2 linked regions of the Arabidopsis thaliana genome follow. The protein of the gene in region 1 interacts with the protein of each later gene in a pairwise test. Each region holds a gene or a part of one and is shown on either strand. Other genes may lie near its edges. The genes, in order: AT4G09060 and ZML1.

Region 1 (17,069 bases):
ATCTCTATTAATTTACAATAATACACAAACAATAATATCTTATATAATATAGTTGTATTCAGATATATAATTTACCAAAAAACAAAATGATAAAACTTTACAATAAAGCAAAAAATTATTTAATCAAAAAATACTTTTTGATAGAATTTCAATCAGTGTTCATAAGGAAAATACATTTAAATGCTCAAATGGAGTTCATTTTTTTAATCATTTCTTTCATTTGAAATAGAACGTGGTCTATATGGAAAGGAAAATTTATTTTTAAAAGTAATTTACAGACCAAAAATAATACATATGCATCAACTTTGGAATCATAATACAAATTTCATTTTTTAATAAATAATTATAACATAGAGAATAATTAGATATTTTAGTGCATGTGCACAATTACATAAGTGTACTCACCCTTATCAAGATAAAAGGGAAGAAAATATAAATTCTTATAAGAAAAAAATAAAGTAACTTTTGACTTTAAATAAAAAGGAAACAAATCTAAGAAATTAATGTTATAATTAAATTATTTACCAAAATTAATTGAAAAATAAGAAACATTTTTTTACAAAAACTAAAGAAATTCATTAGATCTGCTATGAGTATCCGTTTGGGATCACACGTTCTGTGATAGTAGTAGATCGACAACAGATTAACTAAACGAATCAAATATGAAATATATCACTTCTTGAATACAATCTAAATATAAAATTCATACATCTCGGATAAACAACTCAATTCTGCTTCTAAGTATATTTAGTTTATAAAACGATGCTTTTTATCTTTATCTTATCTAAATCATTTTAAAAAGATGAGTTGAAGGCATAGTAAAGACTTTTAGGCTTAATAATCATCGAGCCATAAAAACAAAATACAAGATTAGATTGCGAGAAACACTTACCGATGAAAGAGATTTCTGGTGATGATCTTCTTGGGAATACGTAGTATAACGAAAAATTAAGACTCGTACACTGCATTATATAGAGAAAAGCATAGGAGTTTGTTTGTTTTACTAAGATAAAACGACCTCGTTTAAACTACCTCATTTAAAACGACTTCGTGTAAAATTATGTGTTTCTTAAAATGACCTTGTTTTTAAAAAGGTTTTCTTAGGAAATGAGTGGTGAAAACATGAATGAATCTAACCGAACTTATCCAAATTCGAATAATACTAATAGTTTAAAATCTTATAAATAGAATTATTGGAACTGAACCTTAAATCAAATTTAAATTTTATGAAACTGAACAAAATTAACTGAACGAATCAAAATTCCTAATGTATATATCTCATCTAATCATCTAAATAAAAATAAAGGTTTGATTCATGTTTCTTCTCATCTTTCGTTCATTTTTTATGCATAGTCATGAAACATTAAGGTTTCATTCCACCCAATGATATAATTTTTTTTTATCCTAGTACACTCAAAAAATGAAAAATTTATATAGAAATAAATTGGAAATTGATACAATTATATAATTGAATGATACGCTTTTGCTTAATACTAGTCAAGATGAAAAAATAAAAATAAACCAATAAAAAAAATTGAGCTGAAAATAGAGGAAAAATAATTACTTAGTTGATAATTATTTGTTTGATATAATGACATTAAATTGTAATTTTAGGTAATCACTTTTTGTTGATATTTAAAATACGTTTTTAAACAAAAACAAAACCGAAATAAAAAACCAACTCGAACAAAAACCGAATTGTGTCAAACCGAACAGAGAAAAAAAAAAGTTTTCCACAAGTAAAACCGACAAAATAAACCAAACCGGATCCCAAAAACCATAACCAAAAAATTGCATTAGGAGCCAAATATTTCCGCCACTTAAAACATGCCACGTAGGCACGAATCGATCGATGCAATAACTTTTGTAACGGCTACAAACTTCTGATTTCATTTTTGAAATTCTTCTCTTCCGTCTCTTTTACTAATTCCCCTTTCTTCTTCTTCCTATTGAAACCCTAAATTCTCTTCTTGAAATCCAAATCTTGTTTCAAGAGTAAACCATGCGGAGCGAGAGAATTGATTCAGATGAAGCAGAAACAAAATCGAGAACAAATCTCTCGCAAGAAGTCGAAGAATATATCAAAGATACAATTGATCATTCTTTAGGTCTTCCGATCTCCATGGAATCTCTTCAGAAGAAGCTTTATACGGCTGAAGAATCTCAACGCCGTCTTCGCGAACAGTATCAGGGTCTGATTTCGCGATTAAAGGAGAAAGATCATGTAATCGATCGTGTTAGGGTTAGTAATTTCTTTCTGGGTATCTTTCGTTTTCTGGGATTTGATTGATTTGAATCTGAATCTTTTTTTTTTTTTTTTTTTTTATAAGTCTGAAGCGAGTATGAATGCGCAAGCGTTGAAGAAGTTTGTTGAAGAGAATCAGAAATTGGCTAGTGAGTGTGGGAATTTGTTGAGTCAGTGTAAGAAATTGGAGAAAGAGTGTTTGCTTTATCATCAAGATCGTGATGCGTTGATGGAGTTTGGGAATGAATCTGATGAGAGAGCTAGAGAAGCAGAAGCTAGGGTTCGTGAATTGGAGGATGAAATTGGAAGAATGTCTGAGGAAATGCAGAGATTTAAGCGTCAAATCGGAGATGGTGAAGTAAGAGTTTCTTCATATTAACCCTAAATTTTCTTTAATTGGGTTAAGTTGGGTTTAGAATTGCATTGCCCTCGAGTAAATTAGTTTGCTTTTTGCACTTGCTGGTTTATAGTTTGGTTAGCTTGTTCTTGATGAAATGGTTACTCAAGTGCTATTGTCTTCTCTCTACTCTTTAATTAGCACATGGGGTACCATCATTTGGTTTTCTTTGTTAAGTTGACAACTTGATTTATCTAAGTTCTCATGAAGTTTGACTTCTCATTGAGTCTCTTTGCAGAAAAGTCATAGAATGGTAGATATGATGCACTTGAGAGAGAGACTATGCTAGTCCACATTAAGTTTCTCTTAGTACTATGAAATATAAAATGTCCTTCCATATCGCTTTTCTCGCTGAAGGTGATAACTTGAGGTGGATATCAAATGGGTTTGTCATATATCCTCTATTGTTAGTTGTTTTCAATAGCCTGAGGTGGATAAAGGTAGTTGATAAGTTTTTGGTTGTCTATGTGCTTCAGAGATTGCTTGTTCCATCCAATGTTTAATGGTACTAATACGAGGTGCATATTTATCAAACAAATAGAAATTAGAAAGATCTGTTAGAGTCAACATTAGTAAGAAAATGTATCTATTAGCTGCTACTTATAATCATTTCAATATAGTTTCTTTGTGGTCTGACAGAACTCTGTATTATCATTTCATAAGTATCCATGTTGTGTTCCTTTGCAGAAAGTCTTACAATTGTTGATATTATCCAGTAGATGCACTTAATAGAGAGACTCTAATGGTAGTCCACATTATGTTTCTGGTTTTTATAATTGTCAGTCCATATCGTTTTGCTTTCTGAGGGTAATAAAACTTTGGATTCTTCTGATATATCAAATGGGTTTTTCATATTATTCATATATACAGTATTGTTAGGCGTTTTTGATAGCTTGAGGTGGATAAAGGCTGTTGATAAGTGTTTGATTGTCTATGATGCTTGAGAGATTGCTTGTTCCATCCATGATTTATCTTTCTGTATCCTTGAGATGTAGCATATTTTATCAAACAAATGAAGATTAGAAAGATCTGTTAGTGTCAACATTAGTCAGAAGATGTATCTATTAGTTGCTACTTTTCATCATTTCAGCTGGAAACATAGTATCTTTGTGTTCTGACAGAAGTCTGTATTTTCATTTCTCTCTAAAGGTTGAAAACTGTACTACACCGTTAGAAGAAGATTTGCTTGATTCAGTTTTGGGATCACTCATAAGCAAAGATGAAACTATAATGGGGCGTCTCTTCTTGGAGGCAAACATCCACGACCAATCGTGCCAAGCCTTGCTGAGCAAGTGGGATCACTTAAAGCCTTCAACGCAAAAGGTTCTTTCTTTAGTTTCAAAGGCAAAGAAATTCGAAAAGGAAAAAGAATGCATCATCATGAATCTCGCTAAAGCTGAGCAAGAGGTAATAATCATAAACGATAACACTCTATTGTTCTTAAATGATTCCACTTGACTCACAAACTTTTTACAGGTGGAACTTGTGAGCACGCTAAACCGAAAGCTGGATAAAGAAAATCGTAAGTTGCTAAGGCAACAACAAAGCCCTCTTTGCTCCGCAGACAAGAACCGAAACAGCGCATCTGCAAAGGTAAAAGTACCACAAAAAGAAAGAAGTAAACACTGCGAAGGAAAAAGCAGCTATGTGGACTCTCTCTTTGATTCTAACTTAGGAGTGTTGTTCTGTTTGCAGTCAAACAAGAGAAAGAGTCCGAAGACGATGAGTAGCCCGGTCGAGAAGAGGCTTGAGTTTAGCAGTCCAGAAATTAGCAGGAAGCCTCTATCACCTGTATGGAATAACTCACCAGATTCTAAGATGAACAACAATTGATGATAAACAAAATCAAACAACTATCTGTATCATTCATATGTGAAACCGGATTATATTGTTGCTTCTCTGAAGCTACTAACAACATGTATCAGTATTGCTATGAACAAATTTGACCAGAAAATCATGTTTTCAAACTGGTAAATAACTAGCTTATTATATACAACAGCAGTGTAAAACTGACATAGCTTACTAAACACTGGTGTTTAACATTTCTTACAAAAACGCAACCGTTTTCGGTAACCTACAACGACGTCGTTGCGTCTACAAGAACAGTGAAATTTATACAAACGTTGTCGTTTTCAAGTACATTTTCTAAACGACGTCATTGCTTCTACAACAAACAGTGAGAATCATGAAACACGTCGTTTTAAAACTAAGAACGACGTCGTTAGTCTATTCCAACACAATAAATGTGAAATTGCGTTGCTTTTCGATTTCTTCTTCTTATCCAAAACTCTCTCAGTCATGGCTCTTCTTCGTCTTCCTGGCATTTCCCTCCAAATTCTAGGTCACAAATCAAACCAGAAGAACCCTAATCCCAATGTTGCCTTCACCAATCACTCTCTCTCTTTATCTACTCCTTCACTATGTCGTCTCCATCGTCACGCGACGTTTCCAGACTCAATTCCAGCAAAATCCAGAAACCTCACTTCGTACTTCTCCACCACAACACAAGAGCCAGTCCTCGAATCTTCTTCTTCTTCTTCTTCAGCTCCTGAGGTAGTAGAAGAAGAGATTTCTAAAACCAGATTGATTGCTCAGAATGTTCCATGGACATCTACACCTGAAGATATTAGATCGTTGTTCGAGAAGTACGGGAGTGTTATCGACATTGAGGTTTTTGGTTTTTCTCGTTTCCTTCTTTTGAAATCGATGAATTGAATCTTTTGTGTTTTGGTTTAACGAATTGTGTTTGATTTTTGATTTGTAGATGTCTATGCATAAGAAGGAAAGAAATAGAGGTTTGGTGTTCATTGAAATGGCTTCTCCTGAAGAAGCTGCAACAGCTCTTAAATCTCTTGAATCGTGTGTAAGTACAACGCTTCCTACATGTCTATATTGGAATACTATCATTGAGATTTGGTTGCGTTATGTTTCATATTATCTGGCTTTACGATTAGTAGAAGTTATACATTGTGCTTATTGGGCTCTTTTATGTTGCAGTTATCTCAATTTGATTGATTATTGTATGTAAGAACATTGCAATTCGCTTCCTCCATCTCTAAGTTAGCACAGAATCATTGAGATATTTCTCTCATTTACATTACTTTATGAGTAGTGGAAGTGTACATTATGTTATTAGACTCTTTCAGGTTGCAGTATCCCGTGTAAACAATAGATTTTTCTGGCCTAAAACTTGATGGAGCAAAATTTTCTCTTACTTAGTCTGATTGACTTTGTTGTTTTTCGGTCGATGCTCTCATTTGGTTGTGTTTGTCTCATTCTATTTGCCTTTATGTTAGAAGATGTTGTAGTGGTAGTACACCAATCGTATCATACGTTAGTAGAAGTTGTAGTTCTATTAGGTTTGGTTTTCATTGAAATGGCTTCCCCTGAAGAAGCTTCTACAGCTTTCATATCTCTTGAATCCTATGTAAGAATATTGCATTCATCGCTTCTTTTATGTCTAAATTGGCATATAATTGTTGAGATTTTGCTGTGCTTGTCTCATTTTTATCTGTCTTTTAGATTAGCAGCTGCTGTACATTGTGTTAATAGACCTTTTCATGTTGCAGCATCCCAATTTGATTGATTTGTGTTTTTTTTGTACCTGGTCTTTCTTTGATTTTCATCTGCCATTTAATTGTGTATTGTTGTTTAGGAATATGAGGGTCGTCGTTTGAAGGTAGACTATGCAAAGACCAAAAAGAAGAAGACATATGCGCCGCGTGAGACGCCTTCACCAGTGCCTACATTCAATTTGTTTGTTGCAAACTTGGCATTTGAAGCAAGGGCCAAGCATCTTAAGGAGTTCTTTGATGCAGACACTGGTAATGTTGTCTCCACTGAAGTTATATTCCATGAAAATCCAAGGAGGTCGAGTGGTTACGGGTTTGTCTCTTTCAAAACCAAGAAACAGGCCGAGGCAGCGCTTATTGAGTTCCAAGGAAAGGTAAATCCAAGCTATTCTAAATGATAATGATCTAATCATAATTTAAAGCATTCTAGGCTTATCAGTTATGTTAATTTTGAGCAAAGTTGAAGCTCATTATTACCGTCTGATATAGTTATTGAATGGAATAAAAAATACAAGAGAGTGTTTATGTTTTGGTTTATTTGGGTATGTTGCTGATACCATTTGAGCTTAGGGACCATAGATGGACCCGTAAACCGATTTTTCTAGTCTTTAGACTCTTAATGCATCAATGAGACAAAAATATAAATGGGTTTCTCTGAGCCATTATGTGGGTAGATACTAGACACTTTAAGAGTATATGGACCATAATCCCAGAATTGTAGAACAGAAAGATTTATGACATGTTTCTAATACCAGCTCTAGAATATGAGCTGATTAAGTTGGTGGAATTGACTGTGTGAAATGAACATACGCAGGATTTTTTGGGAAGGCCAATCCGATTAGCTAAAAGCAAACAGTTTGTGAAGTTGCAAGCAAAAGAAGGGTTGCAGCCACCAGAGGAGGAAGCAGAGGAGGAACCATCTCAGTCTGAGACAATGACCCAAGAGCACGAAACTCCGGCTGCATAAAACTTAGAAGGTAGTAAAAGCTTAATCCTGGCTCTGTTGTATCATCAACTTTAAACTCTGAATTAATCGAATCCGTATATATACTTAGTCTTCGTTGCAGGATCATTGTTGGAGATATTGGAATTGACGAAGAAGCTTCGAGCTTTTAGGTCTTTATTCTTCTTAGTTTTTGACCAACAAGAGGAGTGGGTACATACAAGTAGTACCTACCTTGAGTAAATGGTGGAGAGGTAAGAAGTACAAGACCGATTTTGTTAGAACTGAAAACTAGTAAGAGACAGGTATTACCAAACGTCAGTATCAGACCAGATCAAATCTCAAGAAACAAACTCATGTGGCTCCTACGAAACTTGCTTTGTTCAGTTAAACACAATGCTTCTTTGTTTGTCATCTACTTTCGATTACTTGTTTGCGTTTGTTATATGCTTAGTGTGTAACTTCATATATGAACCCGTACTCTTAAGAAAGTTATGTTAGTAATTTGTAAAACGCAAATTAAAATTACTTTAATAGCTAGGTTTCTATTTATAAAAGCCAAAACACAAAAGGTTTTGGGATTAGTTTGAATTTTGATTTAAGACATTGTATAAGCTGTGGAGAGGGAACAATCCTCCGGCTTCATTGTAACACCTACAAGTCCTTAGACCGCTTCTTAGGATAGATTAACACTAAAACCTGAAACTGCCTCCTTTCTTTTTCTTTTTCTCCACACACCTTTTATATTAAGTTATCGGGAAGAAACTATCCGCTAGAGAGAGCCATTTAGGAACCGATGTGCTTATATGGGGAAAAAGACTATTTCGAGCCTGAGCGTTTTTAGCTAAACAATCTGCTCGAGTATTAGAAATACGTGAAAAAAATCTAATATGGAAAAAAGAGAAAAAACAAACTAAAGATCGATAGGAAGCTAATTCCACTGCGAATGTCGGTCAATCGTCTTGATTGTTAAAGATAGAAATCAGGTCTGAACAGTGTGAAACAAAAATACCAGAAGTGTCGCCAATAAAGATCATGCATTCCGTTAGATTTCTTGCTTGAGACTTTGTCCTTTTCGCGCGGCAACAACACTATGGTTCAGTTAGATATCACCTCGAGCATTTGGTACTAAAGTACTAATTCAAAAAAGGCTTCTTGTACTTTGTCTTCCATTCTTTTTCTTTATATATAAAATTTTATGTGGTACGTTTTAAAGGTTATTAATGGCTAAAGAATAAATGACATTGGTATATGAAAAAGGACAAATTGTGGCTACTTTTCATTTTCGTTGAGTTGGAATATTAAGGAGGGAATGAAAATGAATCAGAATTCACAGCTAATGAATGCAAATGCTCTCCAGCCTTTCCCTTTAAAAAGGAACAATTTCTTCAACTTTCTTTTTACCTTTTTTTCTCTTTATCCTCCTTTTGTGCAAAAACCTAAAAAGACTTGAGAGTTCTTTTCGATTTATGTTAACAAAAAAACGATAGTATATCTTCTTCGTCTAACTTTTATAGCAAACGCATTGATTTAATTAAACTTTTTCATAATTTTAAGTAACTTATAGTATTGAGTATAATATTTTGTCACGCCACCTTTAACCTAAAATGGTTACTATAAATATAATACGTAGGAAAGCCCACATGGCTGAGCCAATGAAAGAATCCTGAAAAATGCTTTATATGTATTCTTACAGCTGTCTCCACGTGACAAAACCTACTCTTACCTTTCTCACCAAACCAAAGACTTTTTTAATTCGATTTTTCAATTCTAAACGCCATTAGTCTCGTTAATATTACATACTTTTCAATCTTCGTTATCCAATCTCATTTATATCGTTTAGCTCAAATAAAAGTGTAAAAAAAAGAGATGAAGAATCAGACAGAAAACCAAACAGCTGTTTTTTCGCCACTACCAATAAAACGACAAATTCACCGTTCTTATATACGTCGACACGTGTCTTTACACACGCACACGTTTGCTGACCTCATCAGTCATCACTAATCACCTTCTATTTCACTAACCACTTAACCCCACCCATTTCGAATTCCACAAGGCTTCACTAAATCAATTAATTCAAATCCATACGGACTTTGAAATACCATAATAAAACATTAGTGATAAGAATTTCTCTTCTTTCTTCTTTTTAATACCAAAATTTTTTGAACTAAAACATGTAATCCTCCCAAATCCGAAACATATAATATTAGTTTTGTAGTAAACGTCACAAACCGACGATCTTTAAACTTCGTATAGAATCTTTACCGATTAAACTAACGATATACCAGAAAGTGTTTACTAAAGACTATAATAAAAAACACATATGATTAATGATTTAATTCTATCGTCCAAACGCTAACTCAATTCTTAATACAACATAAAACCAAAGATTAAAAATAACACGAACAAAAAAATCCTTAAATAGAAAAACACTATCTCAATAGATGATTCTAAAATATAACCAAATTACAGTAACAAAGAAGCGACGAATACAAATCCGGCTAAAGATCCAGCAGCGAGAGTGGCGGCGTTGTTGTTATCGACGGGAGTGGATCCAGTCGGACCAGCGACAGGTGCACCATCAGGAGTGAGAGAAGTTGGAGGAGCGGGTGGTGAAGCGGAGGAGGGAAGTGGTGAACCAGCCGGAGGAGAAACTGGAGCCGCCGTGGGAGTAGCGGATGGTGTTGGAGTTGGAGTTGGTGTGATTGAAGGAGTTGGTGCGGCGGTTCTTGGAGGTTGAGCAGGAGATGGAAGAGGAGATCTTGTTGGAGCTGGTCCTGGAGCTTGAGCTATGGCTGATGAAGCTATGAGAGCGAGGAAGAGCAAAACGACGACGGATTTTGAAGCCATAGTTTTCGTAGTTTGAGAGAAGTGAAGGATCTTGTTTCGAGCAGAGAGGAGGAGGAGACGAAGAGGGTTTATATAAGAGAAGAGAATCGATGTTTCTTCGAAATTACACGAAGACGTGTAAATGTTTTTTGTTTTATTTATAAAGAAGTCCCTAGAGTTTCTCTTTATTACACTTTGGATCTGATTTGTTTTGTTTTTTAAAATTAAGAAGTTACATGAGCTCTAACAAAGTTTTGCACTTTTCTATATGAAAGCAACATAAAGACAAATCGAATTTTGTTTCATATCCAAACATGTGTTCGAAAATTTTGAATTTTTGGATGATGAACTGATAAATGTACGTTAGAGAAAAGGAGCCAAGAAATGGAAAAAATGTCAATTAATCCCTCAACTTTTTAAAAATGGCCATTTTATACATCAACTTCGTATGCGGCCGTTTAAAACATGAACTAAACGTTGATTAAATTTTAAAACATGATTATTCGTTGACCAGGCCAAAATAGACATGCCGCTATCAGTCATTAACGGAACTTTTAACGTTCGTTATCATCCGTTAACGACTTTATTAGTCAAGTTTTAAATTGTGGTCATTTTAAACATCGACTTTATATGTGGCCATTTTAAACATGAACTAAGCGTTGACTACCATTTAAAACATGAGAAATTCGATGACCAAGCCAAAATAAACATGTTGTCATCATTCATTAAAAGAACTTATAACATTCATTATCACTTGTTAACGACTCTATTAGTATCCCTAAAACGACTTTGTTTTGAGAATAACCAAAAGAAAATCAGGATTGTTTTCTAAATGAAACTCCAGTTCCCCAAATCTATTTCTACAACCGCTCAAACAAGACGAACAATCTTATAATGAGTCTTCAATTTGCTTCCATGATTCCTTTTAAAATTTAAAACAAATATATAAACGAAAACACTTTTATTTGCTTCCAATTACTGGCACTGTGATTATCTCTATATCAAACTATGGGTTCTGCTTAAAACTTTTTGATATGGAGATTTTATATGGGAAAAATCTTTATGTTCTTTCGATTATTCTCAAACGACGTTGTTTTGGACAGATTAACAGTCATTAACGGTTTCTAGGTTCTACTGATAAAGACATGTCTATTTTGGCTTGGTCAACAAATTTTTCATGTCTTAAATGGTAGTCAACGTTTAGTTCATGTTTTAAATGGCCACATAAAAAGTTGATGTTTAAAATGACCACAATTTGAAACTTGACTAATAAAGTTAACGGATGATAACGGACGTTAGAAATTCCGTTAATGACTGATAACGGCATGTCTATTTTGGCCTGGTCAACGAAAGATCATGTTTTAAAAATTAGTCAACGTTTAGTTCATGTTTTAAACGGCCACATACGAAGTTGATATATAAAATGACCATTTTTTAAAAGTTGGGAGATTAAATGACATTTTTCCCGACAAGAAATGTACACTATGTATAATTTTTTTCCTTCTTTTGGGCATAATTTTTGTTGGCAAAAAGTTTTGCATTAAAAAAAAAATTACAATGTGAAATTGAATTTTTGTTGTTGATAAACCTGCCAACATATTTTTGTCTATATCTTACACCTACAATTATCAATACTATGTCAATTATTCTGCTATTGGTAAGTTGTTAAACGAAAAAATCTACTGAAGTAAGTGATAAAGTAAATAATTTGGAATTTCAGTAAACTACTTGATAGCCGTAACCACCCAACTTGCTCCAAACCTTTTCTTACATGCATATTAAAAATGTCAAAATGGGTAAACCAATCTGACCCAACCCGACCTAAATTCATATAGATTCGAGTGTTTAATGGATGGGTTTGGGAGATCTAGTACAAAGTAAAGCTTGAACATGCTTAGGAAAAAGTCGACTCCGCTGTTTGTTAAGAACACGAGAATCAATACTGAAATATAATTTTGAAACAGTAAAACCTATGGATAACCCATGACTCTAATAAGTTTTGCCCATTAAACTTATAATCCTATTAGTTTTAATCTATTAAAACTCCTTTATATATATGGGTAAAATATTTTTACTTAAACCAATTAACATTATTGACGAGTTCGAGTAATCCATGAATGTTGACTTATTTTGACACTCCTAAATTGCATACTCTAATGGATTTGTTTGAAGACTGTTATTGTGGAAACGTAGATATGATTAGGAAAGTCGAGGTAATTAATTATTTTCATCTGATAAGTGATACGTACACGTATCATTAAAACAACTATGGAAACAAATGGAGATAAAAATATGAGCCATGGATTTGGCTAGGTCGTCGACCACCGACCCAACACCAACTACGCGTTGTTGCCAAAGCCTGCCCTAACCACGTGAATTAAAAGGTTTCAAAGATTAATCAAATTTTAAAATTAATTAATGTGACCTAAACTTTCACTTATCATTATGATTAGTGACTAACACGCGGTTGTGTTTTCCATTCGTCTTGTAAATTCTTATATTTATTTAACTTTTTGACTCTACGATCGAAGCATCTCTTTTCATTATTCGTTTTAAAAATGGATTTTTTTGGAGTATTATTTTACGTTTTAACGTAACGTTTCAATAATTGGAACCTCGGATTCTCTTGAGTTTAGAACGATCTTGAATTGTTTACTAACAATAAGAAAAGGTTTGGATTAGAAGAAAAAATAGTTTGGATTCTTCGAAGATGACAATATCAATGTGGTAAGTAGGTGGTGAGTCACCTTAAGTTGAAAGACAGAAATGGGGTGACTTCTTTTATTATTATTCACAATTTGTTATAAAAACAAATCCTATATAAAAAATTTTGACAAATTTTATCACATTTTGTGGAGGATATGGTTTGAAGCTTGAATAAATTCAAAATTCTGTTGAAATGTGTTTTTCGATAATGTCAAATGTACTAAATCTTGCAGATCAAATACTATGGACTATTTAAACTCGATTATGAAGTAAGGGTTGTAAAACCCAAAATCATTAAGATTTATGATATTTATTTAGATTATCAAATTTTACATGATTTTTTTTATTTTTGTCAGACATTTATACTAAAATACTAAATTGACTCAAATAAGCCAATGTTGAAGGACATTGTTGACATAGTTGATAGGATGTGGATGGGTAAAAACTCTTCGCGCCAGATTATCCACTTTTACATTATATAGATAATACATTTAACTAAAATTAAGTTAATAATATCACTACATATATTTCGTATTTCCATGATTAGAAAAAAATGTACCATTGCTCTAAATATATCTTTATTTGTGATTGGAAATGTCGTACATTTTATTATTTTACATGTAATCAACTTTTACAAGAGACTCATGGAGTCATGGATCTTTTTTACTCATAACTCATAAACCTTATTTTTCCTCTACCGTGCGTTATCGTGTGAGTGCTTATCTTACTTGGACTGGAGAAGGATTGAAGAGAATGGGGCCACATTGTAGGTATCAGCCACACCGGCCACACCTTCCCTCACAAAATCATCCGGCGACTCGAGGTTTGTGTCAGCCTGCGGAAACATGACATTGAATCAGTCATAGAATTAGAGAACCAAAGAAGACAAAAGAAAGAAAGACTGACCACACGGAACCATTGTTTTCCCGGTGGTGGCTGTGGAATCAGAGCCTTGACAAAGTAGTCGTGGGCGTTGAATGCCACATAGATGTCACGGCCACCTATACCGTCATGGAGACTGCAAGAAGAGTCACTTATTAATCTGAAATCTGATAACTCTGTAGAGTACTATAACACAGTTAGGTAAGAAACTTTGGGACTTTTGTGTCTTACGTGAAAGCTAGGAACTTGCTCTCACTGTTGTCCCAATTATCTTCATGCCATGTAATCTCACCCTTTAGACAATCATTGAAAATTAGAGTAGCACTCAAAAATCCAAGGAATAGATGAAACCAAGAGGAAGTTAGTTACTTGGGTGAGGAAATTTTCATGCTTGAGTACATGGTGTGAATGTCGGAACTTGATCACCTCCGAGAAAAACCTGAAATGGTTCTGCTTCTTTGCGTCGAGCTGGATTTAATAAGAAAAAATGATTTCAGTTCATGGAGGAATCCGTAGTAAACAGGGAAGACAAAACGCGAGGCGTAAGACTTGCCTCTTTCCACTGGAAATTGTTAAGGGAGGTATCATGTCCGTAGCTATTGTTGTTACCATACCGTGTATGTCCATATTCGTCTCCCATTAGCATCATTGGTGTTCCCTGATCATTGATCACCATCGGTTTCATATGCATTTAGAATTTTAGACAGTATTTAAACGAGTGTATGTTGGCAAATACGCACCTGAGAAATCATCAAAGCTAAATGAAAGTTCTTCATTTGCCGAGTACGTAAAGATTTGATGTGAGCATCACCAGTTTCCCCTGTCAATAAACAGATTATTAAACTTGAATGCTGTAATAAGAATATTATACAGAGAAACGATCAATGCTTGAATATTGTGAAGCGAGACTCTTTTAATTGTACCTTCAAAACCACAGTTCCAGCTATGATTGTCATTACATCCATCATTTCCTCCTTCTCCATTGGCCTCATTGTGCTATCATACAGAAGAGATACATAAAGCGCTGACTCATTCATGTTTTAAAATCAATACATTGGAAATCAAAAAGTACCTTAAAGTTGTACGATACAAGATCTCGCAATGTGAATCCATCATGTGCGATCACAAAATTTACACCATGGTAAGGCTTCCTCTGGTTAACCTATATAAGAGAAGAGGGAAAGTGCGATGATATCATTAAACCTACTTGGATTCTACTGCAGTTAATGCATCTAAGTGTTCACTGAATAAAGTTCAGAATGAATACAAAATATAATAACCTGGTAAAGATCGGAAGATCCAGAAACCCGAGTAGCAAAGCTTCCTTTCATGCCACTGTCACCCTAACAATGTGGAAGATTAGAGTGCATCTGCAATAAGTCATGCCTTTCCAAAGATCAGGTGAAAAAGACTCCAATGTTGAATACCTTGATAAATCTTCTAACATCATCCCGGTACATCCCATTCCACTCAGCCCACCTGACTTGGGAAAAATCCACCAGTAGCCATACCAGTTACACAAAGTTAATAACCACAGAACTTTGGAAGGAACTACAATGTATAGTACTATTGGGAGTCATCAACTTAAGCTAGTTATGAAGCTAAAACGGTTACCTATCCCAATTTGGAAACTTCCCGACTAGATATAATCCTCCACAATCCCAAGGCTCTGCAATTATTTTACATCTTGACAGAACAGAATCCTTGGCAATTGCCTGATTCAATAAGAAATTACAAAATGAACATTATGGCACAAGATTTTCTATTTTATTTTCTGAATATGCAAGCACAATGCATTAAAACCTACCCTTATCAGTGGGGGAGCACTGAGTGGAGATCCATCTGTTGCTCGGCAAAGCACACTAGCAAGATCAAACCGGAAACCATCCACGTGATATTCAGTGACCCTGCGGTTAAGTAAAGAGAAGAAAGCAGAACCAGAATGATTAACTATGTGAAGTAACCACAATGACTGTCAAGAAGATAGAAAAATCAACAAGCAATTCTTTCATATCAGTGTCATGTCCAGGATAAACTGCAAGATATTTGGTCCAATTAGTTACAGTGGCTGCTAACATAGATTTTGTCCATACCAGTGCCTTAAGCTATCAAGTATGAGTTCCATAACAACTGGATGGTTACAGTTCAGTGTATTCCCTGGAGACAGAAAGCAAAAGAAACGTTGAGCACACATACTACAGCAAACTGTAAACCAAACTTTCATTTCAAGTACGGAATTTTTGAAAAGTAAAGTCTGCAATATAAACTTTAAATTACCACAGCCAGAAAAGTTAAGCAGTTGGTTGTTTGGATCAAGCATGTAATAAACCTGCATAATAGATCTCACTGTTTAGAGTTTTAAGATAAGAAAATAAATAAACCGACATGAATGTTAATCCTCTTATGACTCACCTTGTTGTCTATGCCACGAAATGAAGTGGTATAAGGGTATTTGTCATCTGCTTCGTTGGTGTGATTATAAACTACGTCCAAAATGACCTGCAGAGAAAACTTGTAAGAATACTTCTGAAGAATAATCAATTACAATAAAAAGTTCAACAAGGAACAAACTGCATCGACCCCAAGAAAACGGAGCAATACAAGGGAATTGCTACCTCTATACCAGCAGAATGCAAGGCTTTGACCATTTCTTTAAACTCTTTCGAAGCTTTAATAGGGTCTCCCTCACCACTAGCATATCGGCTCATCGGAGCAAAAAAGTTAACTGTCGAGTAACCCCATGTGTTAACCTAGTAAAAAGAAAAATCTCTTTCAGGTATGGGAAGCACTGAAACTTCCATTCATGGAGACTCAAGTTAAATTGAAAAGGGAAGAATTTTATAGCTACCATTGCGATAAGACCTGCAAGAAATATTATAAGCACACAGAAATGTAAATTGCTGATTCGTGATTACCATGTGATCCCTAGGGTTAGAACGCCTCTGAAGCTCCAGTTCATCAAACTCAAACACTGGCAATAATTCCACTGCATTTATACCCAGATCTTGAAGGTGTGGGATCTTAAGAAAAAAAAAAGAGAGTGAGCTATAAAAGAAGCTTTGTACATATACAGGCAGATGTATCCTCAATATCTATCATAATAAGCTTTTTCACACTTTTAACGTTTTTGGTAAATGACTCCTGCTAACAACCCTTGTGCAGTAAGCATGAATGTGCAGTAATTTCAGCATCTCAACACATATGTTTTAAGTAGAATACAATCACCTTCTCAATGAAACCGAGGTAACTGCCTCCTATAGCTGGGTCCATCCCACTGGATTCATCAGCAGTAAAAGCACGAACATTCATTTCATAAATAACAAGATCCTTCTGCAAAACAGTAGCAGCTGATTACAAAACTGAAACAAAATAAGGGAGAAACCATAAATGCTGCAGGAATACAAATTCCATATTCAAAGTCGGAATCGTGCAACAACTAGCTGAAGGAAACAAATGCAATTTTTACCTCAGGTATGTTAGGAAACTTGTAGTCAT
Region 2 (16,854 bases), on another chromosome or scaffold:
ACTCTTGATATGTCTTGTTTCCAGTTAACCGCCAGAGGTAAAACAGTGATTCGACAGTTTCTGGTCTCAAGATGTTCCACGACGTTCCAACACTCATGTCCTGAATCATCATGTATACTAAACAATAAATAACGCATAAAATAAACAATGTGTTTGAAAAAGACAGGCAAATGACATACACTCCCAGAGTTGAAGAAATAATTCTCCCCAGCCAGTTTTGTTGGAGTTGATTGGTAAAAGTTATAACATGTCCACGCAAGCTGCAAAATATGTGGAAAATAGCAATAAAGGCTATATCTCAGCAGCCTAAATCAGAAAAGCAGAGAGCGAAAAATTCGAAAGATCTGAAGCACTTACGACGCTATGATCAAAGATCATTCAAGTCATAAGTTTACCTCTTCAGCGAGTGTGAGAAACTTCTTTCCTTCAGCAGGATCACTATACCCAGATGCTCCTAAAGCCAACATTCCAGGAGCAAAGCATGCCAATTCATCCATCTTAATATATATGAGAAATAATGAGATTGGAAATGCCAGGCGATGAAGAATTTTCACGTAATACAATGGAAACAATGAACAGATGGGTTTACCTTATCGATCAAAGAATTTCCACTCTTCTCACAGATATATGTAAACGACAAAGGTGTTGATTTCTTAACCAAGCTTAGCAGACCATTCATTGACTTCTCCCACATATCTCTGATGCCAAGATGTCAAGTAATAACAGTACAAATTATTATTGTTCGGCTAAAGATGTTGAAACTAAAAGACCAGAAAAGAAAAGAAGAACATAGATATCAAGCAGAAAGATAAATGTGATGGCAGCTGGTTGAACTTAGCGGACTTGAATCAATCAGACATATATACACTCAGTAGACTAGAGTTAAACTTACCTATAGTGTTTCACTGCTGAAGTTTTGTTCCCAAACACCCAAACTTTGAGCAAATATTCGTAAAAGCTGTACACAAAATATTAGCCGTCACAAATCAAACCAAAGCAGAACCAGAAGGGATCAGACTAGCAGTAATATAAAATGCAATCAAGTTGGAAAAACACCTGTCTCCCATGGCACCAAATGTTATTGTAGACTGCGATGGATTAGCTGTATCGGGATTTATATATATCGGAAGTAAACCATCAGCAGGGAAGTTCTTATTTAGCACTGAAATAACCTTTTCTACCTGAGACACGAGTTAACAGGTCAACCATTGAGGTGCAATTTGTTTACACCGAATTATGACAACATGCATCCAGACATTTTGCCAACTTTAATACCTAATCAGTATATAATACAACAGAATAAGCTAAGAAATATGTATTCCATTCACTGGTTTATAGATATAACAAATTCGCTGATAAGCAGATGGATATGTAATAAGTCAGCAGTGCTACAAGTTACGGAGAGTAATTGCACCTTTTGCTGATATTTTGGGTCCCCTGTCCTCTGGGAAAGGGCAATAAATTCAAGCTGCTCAGTACCAGAATCTGCAAGAATACTGTCTCCCTAAAACAAGAAAGAAGTAAACAATCAACTAAACCGAAAGACATATGTAAATAGATCAGATGGTACCCATTCCACATTAAACATGAGCTTGCTAGTGAAACAATACCTAGTTGATAAAGAATCTTTACTTTCATCATGATCTTTACAACTAAACTCTAAAACAGTGTAGACACAAACAGAATACTAATTGTCACATAACTTGAAAAACAGAACAGTTCGTTCCTGGCGAGCCCTGAAACATCTAAGAAAACGACTGGAACTTAAATCTCAATTTTTCAGTGGCCTCTTAGGAGCTCCTTTAGAAACATGTTCAGGACCCTAGTGGCGACTATCTCGATAAAGTTTTGCACGCATATGAAAATCTGGGCGAGAAAAGAAGAGAAAATGTATATCCAATGCCTAAAGCTTTGAAAAGATCGACAAGGAATATGACAGATAGGACTTACCCCCGCCCATGTAGGATTGTGAGCATTTCCATGCTTCAAGTTGATAATATTATATGGTATACCCGATTGAGTGTCCCATGCAGGCAATAATCTGTCTGCAATATCCATAGCCTTTTCAAGGAAAATTTTATCCCCAGAAAGATCATACGCACTGAGAAGCCCTCCTACCACTCTGAAAGCCAACAAAGAGAAAATATATAAGCACAGATGCCACACTTCCATACCACATATTTTGTTAACTACACACAACAGATAACCTAAACAAGATGACTCTTCTTAGTACATGTAGAAAAAAAACATGGTAAACCTGTTAAATGCAACCTTATGGTTGTCTCAAACATACTGGCAGCATAATCCTTGTCGAAATCTAATGAGCTTGCTACCCACCTGAAAATGAAAGACAATAAGTAAATGAAGGCTGGGAAAGATGAACAGGAAAAGTTGGGAATCGAACTTCAGTTAATGGAGAAGAAAACAATATTATTTATAGGAGGTTGCAGTTTTAGCCAGAAATATTTAATGTTTTCTATATAATCTTGAAACAGTTTAAAAGTGAACATTGCACAACAGATACATTACAAAGACGATTCAATAGCCTTTTCCATTTCATTTTCTTCACTACTTATATTTTTCTCAATAAGATGAGACAAGCCTGTTTAGAACAAGTCAAGCCAGAAAGAATCTTCCTAAAAAAGGCTAGGATGGAAGAAATCTACTCACTCTCTGGCTTTCTGAAACTGCTCATCTAGACCCATTATATATAGTGTGTCTAATGCATCTATCATAGTTGCACCCAGGCCACCAAAGCTGTCAACACCATCCTTTGTCTGGGGCTGATAATGCAAAAAAAAAAGTTACACAAATAGCTTCACAGAAATATATTTATCGCAAGTAGAAAGTGTTCTCATTTTAACTAGTTAAACAACCCAATTATTCTCTGAACAATGGTGAACGTTAACATAAGCTGTCAGCATTGTAGCTAACCATACAAAGATAAAACTGTACCTGAAGCTCATCTTGTCCCCAGGCATACTTTTCATATGAACTCCAAGCATGAACCATTGCCTCTTTAACTCTCTGCATTCGCTGAGCATCAACTGGATCTTCCTGAACATCCTTCAAACTATTGACAGACACATCCTCAGTGACGCTCTTTATCTCTTCCAACTAGCAGAAAACACAACAAAATTTAAGATCATTATAAAAAATCTCATAACTTTCTCAAGATTTAAAAACTCATAGTAAATCAAATTCTTGCAAGACCACGAGACGCGTAATGCCACATCAATATCAGCCACTGTGTAATTAAGCAAATGCAAAAAAAGGAGGAAACTTTGGGTATAATCAAAGCCTCATAGGGAAAAGAAATAAATAACTTACCATCTGCTGCAACCGCAAAACTTCTTCATTTAACTTGGAAACTTCAAACTGCAAAAAGTCAGCATACATTATAAACACACATATGTGAAAGAAAAATCCTATCTTCACATAACACAGAGACTCTCCTTTATCCAAAGATTGAATTTTGATTTCCTCTACAGCCCAGTATAAACAATTTCATAAAGTCTAGACCTTTAGCTGCCTACTTTAACAGATTCGATTAGCGCCTCTCATCAATTCAATAACGTACCTGGTAGTCTCGGGAAAGAGATTGACGATCCCAAACAACCATTGAAACAGAGACGAAGAGGATGATGAGCAAAGCAAGACGTCTTGGTCTTCGGAGATAAAACGCTGGGTTGAAATATTTCCATATCCCATGACTACCACTTACAAGTTTATTCCTCGCCATCTCAATTCCGACGATCAGATCTGATCTCGGAGGTGACAAATTTTTGAAAAAGGAGAAGAAGAAGAAATTGAAACCATGAATTAAAAAGAGAGGAAGAGATCGGATCAGAGTAAAGAGAGGGAATGATCCGGTTTAAATCAGTTGGTTTGGGTTTGGTTGGTTATTGGTTTTGGATTTTGGTTTACTTAAAAGGAAAAAGTGAAAAACAAAAAGTAATTTATTGTTTTAGAAGAGGCCCAAATTTAATCTAGGACGAAGCCCACAGTAAAAGCATGCGTTGTGACGTCACATGAATGAGAATAAGTTTTAGGTCCAAGAACTTCCATCCCAAGTTATCTGAAAACATGCTTTTAGAGATGATGAAGAACAGAAGAAGGGAAACATTGTACATCTTCCGGACCGGAGGATTTGGTTGTGGAGATACTCACTAGGGTTCCGGTGGTATCTCTGAAACAATTGCGATCAACACCCAAAGGGTGGAACGCTCTTATCAAAGATGGACTCTGCTTAGACACAACGGCAGTCTCCTCTGGTTATCAAGTTGATTGATTATAGGGTTTAATTAGTGAGTCTCGATCTCCATGGAATTGTGACAAGGTGTCTTGGAGAAGGCAAAAAGGTAAGTACCAGACCAGAGCTAGTGTCTTGAAACAGTTGAAAGTCACAACAAATAGTTGTGTAATGTTGGTTTTCTTTTGTGAAGGAAGCATACATATTTCTTTTATAACACCATGACCAGTGAAACACTTGGTGGGTCTATGAATGATCCTAATTATCACATTGGCTTTGCGTCTTTTGTGTAATTTGATATGGTTATAGAGTTGCATGTCACATAGGTTTCATTGACTCGGAAGATGATATTTTCTGGATAGGTTTTGGTTCCTGGCCTCATTTACATTTTGATCAAAAATCTTGGTTTTCAAGGATATACTAGTTTGTAAAATTTCATAAGGCCAATTTTATTTTACAAGTGCCTTGGGACTATAGGTAGATAGATTCAGGTACATTAGCAAATGCAAAATGAGAATTGATTTATCAAACTTTTAGTGAAATACACATTTTAATTTATTAGTCTATTAAATATGTAAGTATGATGACTTCATGAAAAATTAAAGGAGTAGGGCAGAGATATATAATGTTCAAAGATATAACCCCACAAGTCAATTATTACTTAGAAGCATTTTGAGTTATACAATAGAAATATATTAAGTATATATATGATCTTCCCATATTTATTGAGTAAGTAAAAAGAAAAAAAATGATCTTCCCATATTTATATAAAATTATTTACATTTAATTTTAATTGAATATGCTTTTAATGTTACAAAATTATAACCACAGAAATAGAAAAAATTAATAATGATAAATAAATGTTGAGAAAAAAGAAAGATAGTAAGAATTAAATTTAGGAAAAAAAGAAGTTAAAAATCTGTGTGGACAAAAAGAAAAAATCTCCATATTTATTAGTGTAAAGGATAAAATAAAAGACAATTACGTGATCTCCTCCTTCCTATATATATAAATGATCTTCCCATATTTATAGAGTAAATCAAAGAAAAAAAAAGAAGAAGATTAAAAATCTTGATTCTATCGTCTCTCCATCTTGATTCTTTGAAAATTGGTTTAATCACAGTCGTGTGAGAGATGATGACGTTCAACGACCTTCCGGAGGATTTGGTAGTGGAGATACTCTCTAGAGTTCCGGCTGTATTTCTAGCACGATTACGATCAACATCCAAACGATGGAACACTTTGATCAAAGATGGGAAACTTTCTAAGAAGCACTCTTCTAATGCTCCAAGGCACTCTATGGCTCTCGTGTTGATTGATCATAAGGTTTATTCAGTGAGATCCAATCTCCGTGGAATTCACAATAGCGTTGCTCCATATGTTAACATAACATGTCATTTTAGCCTAAAAGAACATCTTTCTAATAATTATTCAACAGAAGTCGATATAGGCCACGTCTTTCACTGCGATGGCTTATTGCTATGCACCACCAAGGACTATAGACTGGTGGTTTGGAATCCGCTTTCAGGTGAAACAAGGTGGATTCAACCAAGATTTTGCTACAAGAAAGATGACTGCTATGCTCTCGGTAGATCCTCTTGCAACAAGTACAAAATCTTGAGGCAGGGTCGTCTTATCAATCCTAGCGAAGAACGTTACGTGTACAACATCGTGGGGGAGGATCTTGTTATCAACAATAGCCAAGAACGTTACGAGTACGAAATCTATGACTTTAACTCTAATTCGTGGAGGAGTATTGGTGTGATCACCGGCTTGTTCAATCCAAATATCACCAGTGGCGTGTCTGTAAATGGAATCACTTACTGGTTTGATATTAGTGAACAATTCTTACTAAGTTTTGATTTCTCAACAGAGAGATTTGGAAGTGAGTCTCTCCCAGAGGGTGATAGTCATTTGGCTTTATCAGTGACTAGACAAGGGAAACGACTTTGTATGTTATCTACTAATTACACATACGTAACCGGAACAAACGTTAACTTATGGATAGCAACGAAGACTAGTGAGAACACCAGAGCAATGTCATGGAGCAAGTTCCCAATACTGCGGGGCGGAGTTGGTCTACGCTATCGTTGTCATTTTAGGGAAGGGGTGAGTTTCTTCGCATACCAAGTTAAGGAGAAGATTGTTGTAGTTTCTTGTCATAGACCCAACCGGCACTCCAAGGACATCATACACATTGTGGAAAATGATAAATTCATAGAATTGGATCATCATGGTGCAAAACCTACACATGAATTATCTCCTACCCCACGTCTCCTCATATATGTTCCAAGTTTGGTTCAAATTCAACATGGTATTTAGTTCTTTGGAGGAGGCACCAAGTCAGCCAGTGCATGGCCTTGTAATTGTCACACTAGTCTATGCATTATCTAATCTAACTCTTGATATTTTATAAGTAAGATATATGTACGCATTTCTAAGTTATAACTTGTTGCTACCCTTTTGCTAGTGGATAATTCGAGGCACATGGCATTTTCATAATTGGTCAATTAGTTATTAAGTACCAAAATTTTGAAAAGGAAAAAAATTAGAAATGCTTAGAACATATTAGAGCAAAACATATGTAAATTTTGTGCAAGAATAAGGGAAAAGCAAATAAAATCAAAATAAAATTGTATATTGTGGAATTAAGAAATGAAAGAGGAACGCAATTTAGTTTTAAAATCTGACATATTAGATATAGTTGAGTCAATTGTTTTCCACCGAAGAATTGGTTGTGGTTCCATCTAACTTAAGATATTTTGTGTTAAGATGGTTTATTTGTAGAGATATATTATAATTATATATGATTTCTAACCAAAACAACAAGAAGTTTTTAAAGATGGGTACAAATTGAATTAACTAATGTAATTCCACATTGTCATTTGGTAAAAGAAAGATATCTTGACAAAAGAGATTAAAAGAATTATGTGAAAAACCTTGGCGACCTTAAACCATCTCCAATGTCTTTATATCTTTGGCATCATTAAGAGTAAATGTGTATCTTGATCAAACCTGAAACCACTAAAGAAAAACATATGAACTCAAATAGAGGCCAATTAAAGATGAGGTCCAAAGAATAGGGAGTGTCAAGCCTTTCACAAAGACGACGCCGTTTGGCTAAAAAAGGCCCAAGATCACAACGACGACGTTTGCTGAAGAAAAATGAAAAATCTTTCACTACAATCATTAGACCAAAAAAGAAAAAAAAAATCAAAGGAGCTTCCTTTTTTCGCTCTCGTCTCCGTTTACCCTTTTGGGATTTTTCCCTAAACCTTTTTCTCTCTTTGTATAATCAAATCCTCTTTATCTTTCATTGTTTCGCGTGAATTAGCTCTGCAAAGGCTCTTCATTCTTCTCGCTTGGATTCCTCTGCACAAAAGGTACCCATTTGATGTCAATTTTGGTTTATTGTTTTGATTGCCCTGTCCAAGTGACAAGTCTTTGTATGTATGATATAGGTAGTGGGTTCTAGTTTGTAGATGAACTTGTCGAATTTGGAGGGTTTTTAGTTGGAAGCATTTATATGTGGGATTTGGAATTGTTCTGTCTATTTGTTCTTAGCTTAAAGGTTGGGACTTAGCTTAGGACTTATGAGCATGAGAGAAGGAGACTTTTTTTCCAATTCGAATCTGATTGATGAAACTTTTTTTACTGGATTTGGGTAGATATTGTTACGTTTTAAGGTAGTTGACTGTTGTTAGTTGTTGTTTACTCGAGATTAGATTATTGTCATCTACTCTTGTTATAAAAGAAGCTCCTTTGTACTATATCAGTGCTGATAACTATTAATGAAGTTCCTTTCCCTTAGGTGGAGATAGTTTCTTTGTATTTGCAAACTCAATTTATGTGAGAATATATCCACCATTATTGAGTTTCTTCAACCTATACCGTCTCTGACAATCTCGCTTTTTCGTTATTAAGAACGTTCCAGTCTTAATTAATGTTATCTTCCTTTGGATGTAATTGGTAACAAATTGCAGAAAAAAGACCATGGATGATCTTCATGGAAGAAATGGTCGAATGCACATTGGTGTAGCGCAAAATCCAATGCATGTGCAGTATGAAGATCACGGTTTGCACCATATCGACAATGAAAACAGTATGATGGATGACCATGCTGATGGTGGGATGGATGAAGGAGTGGAGACAGACATTCCTTCTCACCCTGGAAACTCAGCTGATAATCGTGGTGAAGTTGTAGACCGTGGAATTGAAAATGGAGATCAATTGACATTGTCCTTCCAGGGACAAGTTTATGTTTTTGACCGTGTCTCGCCTGAGAAGGTAACTTTAAGTTAATTTTGGTTCTTTGATGTTTTAGTTTTGGATACATATGGTCAACGTATCCACCTGGTTGGTTTTGTTTTTCGCTTATTGAAGTGCTGCTCAATATTATGCAGGTTCAAGCTGTGCTTTTGTTACTTGGTGGAAGGGAAGTACCACATACACTCCCAACAACCCTAGGATCACCTCATCAGAACAATAGGGTACTGGTAATAAAAGATTTAATACCATATGGGAAATCAGTTTATTCCCCAGTTTGTTGCTGACTAATAAATGAACCAGGGTCTATCTGGTACTCCTCAACGGCTTAGCGTTCCGCAGCGGTTAGCTTCTTTGCTCAGGTTTAGGGAGAAACGAAAAGGGAGGAACTTTGATAAGACTATTCGCTATACAGTCAGGAAAGAAGTAGCCTTGAGGTACGTTTATGTCAAGTACTAGCTTTTGTGTATGTCGAGCTTTTGAGATACGTCTGTTTTGCAATTAAGGTTTTGTTTGTTCATGCAGAATGCAGCGTAAGAAAGGTCAGTTCACGTCGGCTAAATCAAGCAATGATGATTCTGGATCCACTGGATCGGATTGGGGGTCAAACCAGAGCTGGGCCGTAGAAGGGACTGAGACTCAGAAGCCAGAGGTTTTGTAAGTTGAAAATGCTTTAAATTTCTTACAACAGTTATATTAACTTTAGTGAACTCGTTATAAAACCTCAATTAAGTCTAATACATGGAAACAATTTATTTGGTAACCATTTAATGACGCTCTTTTCACTTCCATAAACTTTGTCTATATACGTCAACTCTGAAATTTATAGTTATACTTATCATGATGGCATCACTCATTCGATACCTGCAACTGATAACTTATACTTGTGAGAGGATAAAAATAACTGAACCGACTATGTTGTTGCATGTTAAGTCATTGTAGTTGATATGAACTTATTTATAGCTTGGTATACTTGGAAAGCTTGTCTCTGTTCTTATTCTTCGTCAAATGGTTGTGAACATGTTAAGATGTCGACACTGTGGAACAAGTGAGAAGTCAACTCCAATGATGCGACGTGGACCTGATGGGCCAAGAACACTTTGTAATGCGTGTGGACTGATGTGGGCAAACAAGGTAAGCTAAGAGTTTCTTAGTTCACATTGATCACCTCGTCTCGTATCACTTTTTTGACTCATTGATCAGGCCTATATATCCGAGTATGAACCTAACAATAACATTCCCTTTGACTTTATAATATCAGGGGACTCTTAGAGACCTATCCAAAGTCCCTCCTCCGCAAACACCTCAGCATCTATCTCTGAATAAGAATGAGGTGAGCCGTGAGCGCAGTATTTCATAGAGCTGGAGTTTTGATTTGCTTATTAAGAGAACATACATTCATTTTTTTTTTCTCAATCACTTTTGTTGCAGGACGCAAATCTTGAGGCTGATCAAATGATGGAAGTAACTGGTGACATTAGCAACACACAGTGAGAACTGAGAAACCATTGGAAGCAAGAAAGGATCTCAAACAAAAACAGTTGTTATCATTTCATTTGATGATGGAATCGAATCTGAGTTGTGTTTAGGGTTTCTCTGGGTTAATCTCAGTCTATGTGGGCACATTTTAGTCTTCTACAAATTATAAGACACTCTTCACTTATTTAGAAGCTCACTCATCAGAAAAGAAAAAAAAAACTTTGCTCAGTCTCTCATCTGTGTGTTTGATTATATTTTCAGGCAGAAAACTTTTTTTTGTTCTTGTATTTGATTACAATTAGTTAAATATTTAAGACTTAGTAGAGATAATGCAATCTATGTATAAAAATAGAAACAATGATTGGTTATGTCGTGCAACCCAAGTGACCTTAATGTCGTACACACGTTCATCAGGTTAAAACGAAATTTCTCAGCAACTTCACTATTCTCTCTGTCACATTGTTTTATTCTTTTCCATTATCTTTATTGGAAACTTGATTAGAAAGAACTGATTAAGGTATGAAGATAATTAGTGTACCATTCTTCACATGATACGAGGTGAACAATAGTATATCAGAATACTAGAATAATTTTATAAGTTATAAAGATGAATGGTATACCACTTATTACAAAACGAAAACATAGTTAGATCTGAGAAGAAGGAAAGATTTTTGTTTTAAAAAATGAGATGGTTAGATATATGCCATGTTAAGAGATGCCACCATGTTCTTCTTCTTCTTCTTACCCGGAAAAAACTCTTTCTTCTTCTCTTTCCCATAAAAAGAAACAAAAAAAAACTAACTTCCCACAAATTTTGCCAAACCAAACCAAAAATAGTAATGATCTCATTCAATTTGAACCCTCTCTCCATTTTCTTTCATAGTTTTTTTTTAGGGTAAATCAAAATATTAATGTTGGTTAGAAACTCAAAAATTAGTTTCTCTTTTTTTTCTCTGTGATTGACAGAGAGGTAAGAGAAAAAAAAGAGAGAAAGTGTTTCGGTTTTTGTTGCCTTCTCTCGAGTTAGGCCTTCTCTCTTCCGTCACACCATCATTTTTTTTCTCCATAACGACCAAATCATAAAACCGGTCGTTCCTATTTTTTCTTTCTCTGCGTTTTTTGTTTCGAATTCTTCAATAGAATTTTAAAAGAAAGAAGAAAGCTGGGTGAGACGAAGGAAGGAAGAATGAGCACTTCGTCGAGCAACGGATTGCTTCTGACGTCAATGTCAGGACGTCATGACGACATGGAAGCTGGTTCTGCTAAAACTGAAGAACATTCTGATCATGAAGAGCTTCAACATGATCCTGATGATCCTTTTGATATTGATAACACCAAGAACGCTTCTGTTGAATCTCTTCGTCGTTGGAGACAAGCCGCTCTTGTGTTGAACGCATCGCGTCGGTTTCGATACACTTTGGATCTTAATAAAGAAGAACATTATGATAATCGAAGGAGGATGATCAGAGCTCATGCTCAAGTCATTAGGGTATGTATTTTCTTTATATAATTCTTCCTATCATTTCAACAACAATGTTGTTTGTTTAATTGAATCTCACATCGATAAATCACTTTTATGAATCAGGCAGCATTGCTTTTTAAACTGGCTGGTGAACAACAAATTGGTATGATCTCTTATAAGTCAAGCAAATCTCTGTTTTGTTTTCTGGTTTCTTGTTGAATAATCTTTAGTTTCTTTTGGTATCAATTAGCGTTTGGATCATCAACACCAGCAGCTTCTACTGGTAACTTTGACATTGATCTTGAAAAGCTTGTGTCTATGACAAGGAACCAGAACATGTCCAATTTGCAGCAATATGGAGGGGTATGATTCAAGACTCACACATTCCATAAATAGGAAGGTTTCTTGATGCTGACATTAATATATCTTTCAGGTCAAAGGTGTTGCAGAGAAGTTGAAGTCAAATATGGAACAAGGAATCAATGAGGATGAGAAAGAGGTGATAGATAGGAAGAATGCTTTTGGATCTAACACTTACCCAAAAAAGAAGGGGAAAAACTTTTTTGTAAGCAAAGAGTCTTTTACAACTTCTTCGACCGTGTTTTTATCGGTTTGTGGATACTCATATGTTTTTTTTCAACTTTCTGTTTGTCCAAAAGATGTTCCTCTGGGAAGCTTGGCAAGATTTAACTCTCATCATCTTGATCATAGCGGCTGTAACATCATTGGCATTGGGAATAAAGACAGAGGTATACATGCTTTCCTTTCGATAAGTTCTTAGTTTTTCGAAATCAGGAATGTACTAATTTTCTGTCTTATTACTTCATGATCAGGGTTTGAAAGAAGGTTGGCTTGATGGTGGAAGCATTGCCTTTGCGGTTTTGCTTGTCATTGTTGTTACAGGTATATACATGTTTCTTTCTGTGATAAATTCTTGAAAACATTCTCAATCTTGCTCTTAATCCATTTAAGATAAATCTTTCTTTACACTTTATCTTTTGATTGTTTCAGCTGTTAGTGACTATCGCCAATCTCTCCAGTTTCAAAACCTCAACGATGAAAAAAGAAATATACAACTAGAGGTGCTTGCTTTAACATCTTAGTTTGTTTTGCAATTACATGTTTTTGAGCTGAAGATTAAATAAACGAAAACTCTTACAGGTCATGAGAGGAGGGAGAACAGTGAAGATATCAATCTATGACGTTGTTGTCGGAGATGTTATACCTCTTAGGATAGGTGACCAGGTAGGTATACTTTGTCTTTATATTCCATCTAATGGCTTCAGAGTTAAATGACTATATGGCCTTATTTATTGTTGTATTCATATAGGTCCCTGCGGATGGAGTGCTAATTAGTGGTCATTCTCTTGCTATTGATGAATCTAGCATGACCGGTGAAAGCAAGATTGTGAGTTCATTATGGTTCTGCTTGTGCAATTTTTATGGTCATCTTCCCTTTCTATTTGCTAACACAGACCTTTGTTTGCAGGTTCACAAGGATCAAAAATCCCCTTTTCTAATGTCTGGCTGTAAAGTAGCTGACGGAGTCGGTAACATGCTGGTAAATCTTTGAAACTTTTGTCCTGTTCTTAGTTCTGTTTTCACATAGTTGTTCATACTTCCTAGTAGTTATTCTTTGTGAGTGTTTCAATAGGTTACTGGTGTTGGAATCAACACTGAGTGGGGATTGTTGATGGCAAGTATCTCAGAAGATACTGGTGAAGAAACTCCATTGCAGGTATATCATCTTGATCACTTAAGGTCTCCACAATGTGTTGAAGAAGGCTAACATTTCCTTTTGGTAATCTTGTAACAGGTGAGGTTAAATGGTCTTGCAACCTTCATAGGGATAGTGGGGCTCTCAGTGGCTCTTGTTGTCCTGGTGGCTCTTCTTGTGAGGTAATTTCATTTACCTTGGTCAATAAATCTCTTGGCTTACAAATTCATGCCATGTTGAGGGCTATAACCATTGAGTTTTTTCAGATATTTTACCGGAACTACTCAAGATACTAATGGAGCGACCCAGTTTATCAAAGGGACGACTAGTATCAGTGACATTGTAGATGATTGTGTAAAGATATTTACAATCGCCGTAAGTATTAGTTCCATATTTTTGATTATGTTATTCGATAGACATATCAGTTAACTCTGGCATTTGTTTAGGTGACAATTGTGGTTGTAGCAGTGCCTGAGGGACTTCCCCTAGCAGTTACCCTCACGTAAGTCGTACTTGATATAATCCACTCAGAAGATAACTAATTATCTACGTTTCAGGTGTTGATATACTTTTTCTTGACACCATATTTGCAGTTTGGCTTACTCAATGCGAAAGATGATGGCAGACAAAGCTTTGGTAAGAATCAGAAGGAGTGTTCTCGCTTTAGTTCTTTCTTCTTGGTTATTGTCTGACCATTTTTCTCAAATGCCAAACAGGTTAGAAGGCTTTCAGCTTGTGAAACCATGGGATCAGCAACAACAATCTGCAGTGACAAAACTGGAACTTTAACTTTGAATCAGGTTAGTATCCAGTAAAATGTGAGCTTCTTGACATGAAAACCATCATACCCTTCTAGATAGCTAACTTTACCCCTCACAAAAATACAGATGACTGTGGTTGAAACTTATGCTGGAGGATCAAAGATGGATGTAGCAGACAACCCTTCCGGTCTCCACCCTAAACTTGTTGCCTTAATAAGTGAGGGTGTTGCACAAAACACAACAGGAAACATTTTTCATCCCAAGGTAGTTTTTGTTACTCTGCTATTGTTGAACCTTCCTATGGATTTTCAAAGAGGAACAATGTTACTCTAAGCTCATCATGTTATCATGTAGTTATCAAATGATTGATGTTTAGTTGTCATGTTTGTTTTACTATAGGATGGTGGAGAGGTGGAGATTTCTGGATCTCCCACAGAGAAGGCTATTCTGTCTTGGGCTTATAAGGTATCAAATGTTTGTTTACCCTGGTCCATCTTTGACATATTCTTCCTCTGTATGAGCAATATATTTAAAGAAGTTGTTGTTGCAGTTGGGGATGAAGTTTGATACCATCAGGTCGGAGTCTGCTATCATCCATGCCTTCCCTTTCAATTCAGAGAAAAAGCGTGGTGGTGTTGCTGTGCTTCGAGTAATTTCTTTATCCTTTCTCCAATTTCAAAATACATAACCTTTTTTACTTTGGAGTCATTACAGTTAGCGGCTGCTTCAGTTAACCGCTATGTTCTGCTGAATTTTCAGTAACTAAACACATAAACATCTTCTCGTGAAGCTGATTATGTGTATGTTAATTCACTGCAGGGTGATTCTGAAGTTTTCATTCACTGGAAGGGAGCAGCAGAGATAGTTTTGGCTTGCTGTACACAATACATGGACTCAAATGGTACTCTGCAGTCCATTGAGAGCCAAAAGGTGAAGTGACAAAAAGAGTTTGAAATCAGAAAAATGGTGTTAAATTTTCACTTAGACATTCTCTGTTAGCCTAGGAAGACCAATTTTGTGACTATACTATGCATTTTCATCTCAAATTTCAAAACCATTTGTGTCTGCAAATTGTTTTACAGGAATTTTTCAGAGTTGCTATCGATAGCATGGCGAAAAATAGCTTGCGATGTGTTGCTATTGCATGCAGAACACAAGAGCTGAACCAAGTTCCCAAGGAACAAGAGGACTTGGATAAATGGGCTTTACCTGAAGATGAACTCATTTTGCTTGCTATCGTTGGCATAAAGGTAGGTATTCTGAAAAGTTTTGGTTTGTTTTATGTGTTCACTATGTGACGATTTTGCTCTCTTCCAAAATTTAAACCTATTGTTCTTTTGGTAACTTCTTTTGGTAACTTGTTACGCAATCTAGGATCCTTGTCGTCCCGGTGTCAGAGAAGCAGTGAGAATCTGTACCAGTGCTGGTGTTAAGGTAGACTCCTAGCCTCTTCGAAGTTTACAGTTATGCTTTCTAGTTTTCTATAGAGATTACATGAAATGATCATCTTGTTCATGATATAGGTACGAATGGTGACTGGTGACAATCTTCAAACAGCAAAAGCAATTGCTTTGGAGTGTGGTATACTTTCTTCAGATACAGAAGCTGTTGAGCCTACTATCATCGAAGGAAAAGTGTTCCGTGAGCTATCTGAGAAAGAGAGAGAACAAGTAGCCAAGAAAATAACGGTATGAAAATTAAACAGCCAAGGATCATATATACGACTTGGCGGCTGCTTGCTTTTTCAAACATTAACTTAGGTTGTGAAATGCAGGTGATGGGTAGGTCATCTCCTAACGACAAGCTCTTACTTGTTCAAGCACTACGGAAAAATGGAGATGTTGTTGCAGTCACTGGTGATGGTACTAATGATGCTCCTGCCCTCCATGAGGTTCTCTAACAATTCTACAGGTTATGTATTATGTGTTGTGTGTCATCTCCAAATCTGATTTTTCTTTTGTTGCTTTGGACTATAGGCAGATATAGGTCTCTCTATGGGTATATCAGGAACTGAAGTTGCAAAAGAGAGTTCTGACATCATTATTTTGGATGACAATTTTGCTTCAGTAGTAAAGGTTAGTCTACTACATCAAATATAGAAACATGTGATCTTCTACATTATCCTTCATCTTTATGCTTTTCTAATCAATAAACTCTGTTTACTCTTCCAGGTTGTTCGTTGGGGCCGTTCTGTGTATGCTAACATTCAGAAATTCATACAATTCCAGCTTACTGTGAATGTTGCCGCACTTATAATCAATGTTGTAGCAGCAATGTCTTCTGGTGACGTCCCTCTAAAGGCTGTACAGGTTAGTACCTTGATGCTTATTTGAATGGTTGAACTTTTAAGACAAGGATAAAAGATATAATGGTGTTCTTTGATGCAGCTGCTTTGGGTCAACCTTATCATGGATACTCTTGGAGCACTTGCACTAGCTACAGAGCCACCAACCGATCATCTTATGCATAGAACCCCTGTTGGAAGAAGGTATAAACATGTTGCACATGATGTTTTCCTCATACTTTTAGTGAAACAGAATAGTTATATTGTGGTTTCAGTCGTATGGTTCGTGATGGTTTGTTTCTTGATTTGCAGGGAACCTCTTATAACAAACATCATGTGGAGGAACTTGCTTGTTCAGGTGACTTGCTCAAAAACCAACTTGATTAATTATTTTACCAAATAATTTTACTAGCTTGCATGTGTCTGAAAATGAAATCTGGGGATGTTGCAGTCATTCTATCAAGTGGCTGTTCTCCTAGTTCTCAACTTTGCAGGCTTAAGCATTCTTGGCTTGAACCATGAAAACCATGCACATGCTGTGGAAGTGAAGAACACTATGATATTCAATGCCTTTGTCATGTGTCAAGTAAGCAAATCATCTCTTCTTTCATCTATATAGTCTTAAAAGATATG

The links.
Region 2: the proteins of AT4G09060 (region 1) and ZML1 interact in a two-hybrid assay, tested with the Arabidopsis thaliana proteins (2 studies listed by BioGRID).

The regions. Positions count from the first base shown.
Region 1 is NC_003075.7:5,785,187-5,802,255, reverse strand, and holds AT4G09060 (uncharacterized protein), read left to right. Parts: upstream 1-1,925; 5' UTR 1,926-2,002; coding exon 2,003-2,242; intron 2,243-2,330; coding exon 2,331-2,603; intron 2,604-3,183; coding exon 3,184-3,261; intron 3,262-3,791; coding exon 3,792-4,049; intron 4,050-4,118; coding exon 4,119-4,235; intron 4,236-4,337; coding exon 4,338-4,475; 3' UTR 4,476-4,597; downstream 4,598-17,069. Other genes in the region: AT4G09040 (RNA-binding (RRM/RBD/RNP motifs) family protein), read left to right, coding at 4,941-5,312, 5,407-5,505, 6,298-6,588, 7,029-7,181; AGP10 (arabinogalactan protein 10), read right to left, coding at 9,624-10,007; ISA3 (isoamylase 3), read right to left, coding at 13,417-13,527, 13,599-13,710, 13,806-13,867, 13,944-14,042, 14,128-14,232, 14,315-14,394, 14,498-14,570, 14,647-14,736 and 11 more.
Region 2 is NC_003074.8:7,414,587-7,431,440, forward strand, and holds ZML1 (ZIM-like 1), read left to right. Parts: upstream 1-7,449; 5' UTR 7,450-7,635; intron 7,636-8,235; 5' UTR 8,236-8,245; coding exon 8,246-8,539; intron 8,540-8,655; coding exon 8,656-8,748; intron 8,749-8,821; coding exon 8,822-8,955; intron 8,956-9,043; coding exon 9,044-9,175; coding exon of another isoform or gene 9,176-9,179; exon of another isoform or gene 9,180-9,546; coding exon 9,547-9,652; intron 9,653-9,779; coding exon 9,780-9,851; intron 9,852-9,949; coding exon 9,950-10,012; 3' UTR 10,013-10,319; downstream 10,320-16,854. Other genes in the region: MNS2 (alpha-mannosidase 2), read right to left, coding at 1-100, 180-260, 396-497, 590-698, 893-958, 1,057-1,181, 1,415-1,504, 1,951-2,122 and 5 more; AT3G21170 (F-box/associated interaction domain protein), read left to right, coding at 5,387-6,574; ACA9 (autoinhibited Ca(2+)-ATPase 9), read left to right, coding at 11,184-11,486, 11,583-11,622, 11,710-11,822, 11,893-12,024, 12,119-12,208, 12,293-12,362, 12,471-12,541, 12,621-12,704 and 21 more. UniProt on the Arabidopsis thaliana protein: Transcriptional activator that specifically binds 5'-GATA-3' or 5'-GAT-3' motifs within gene promoters.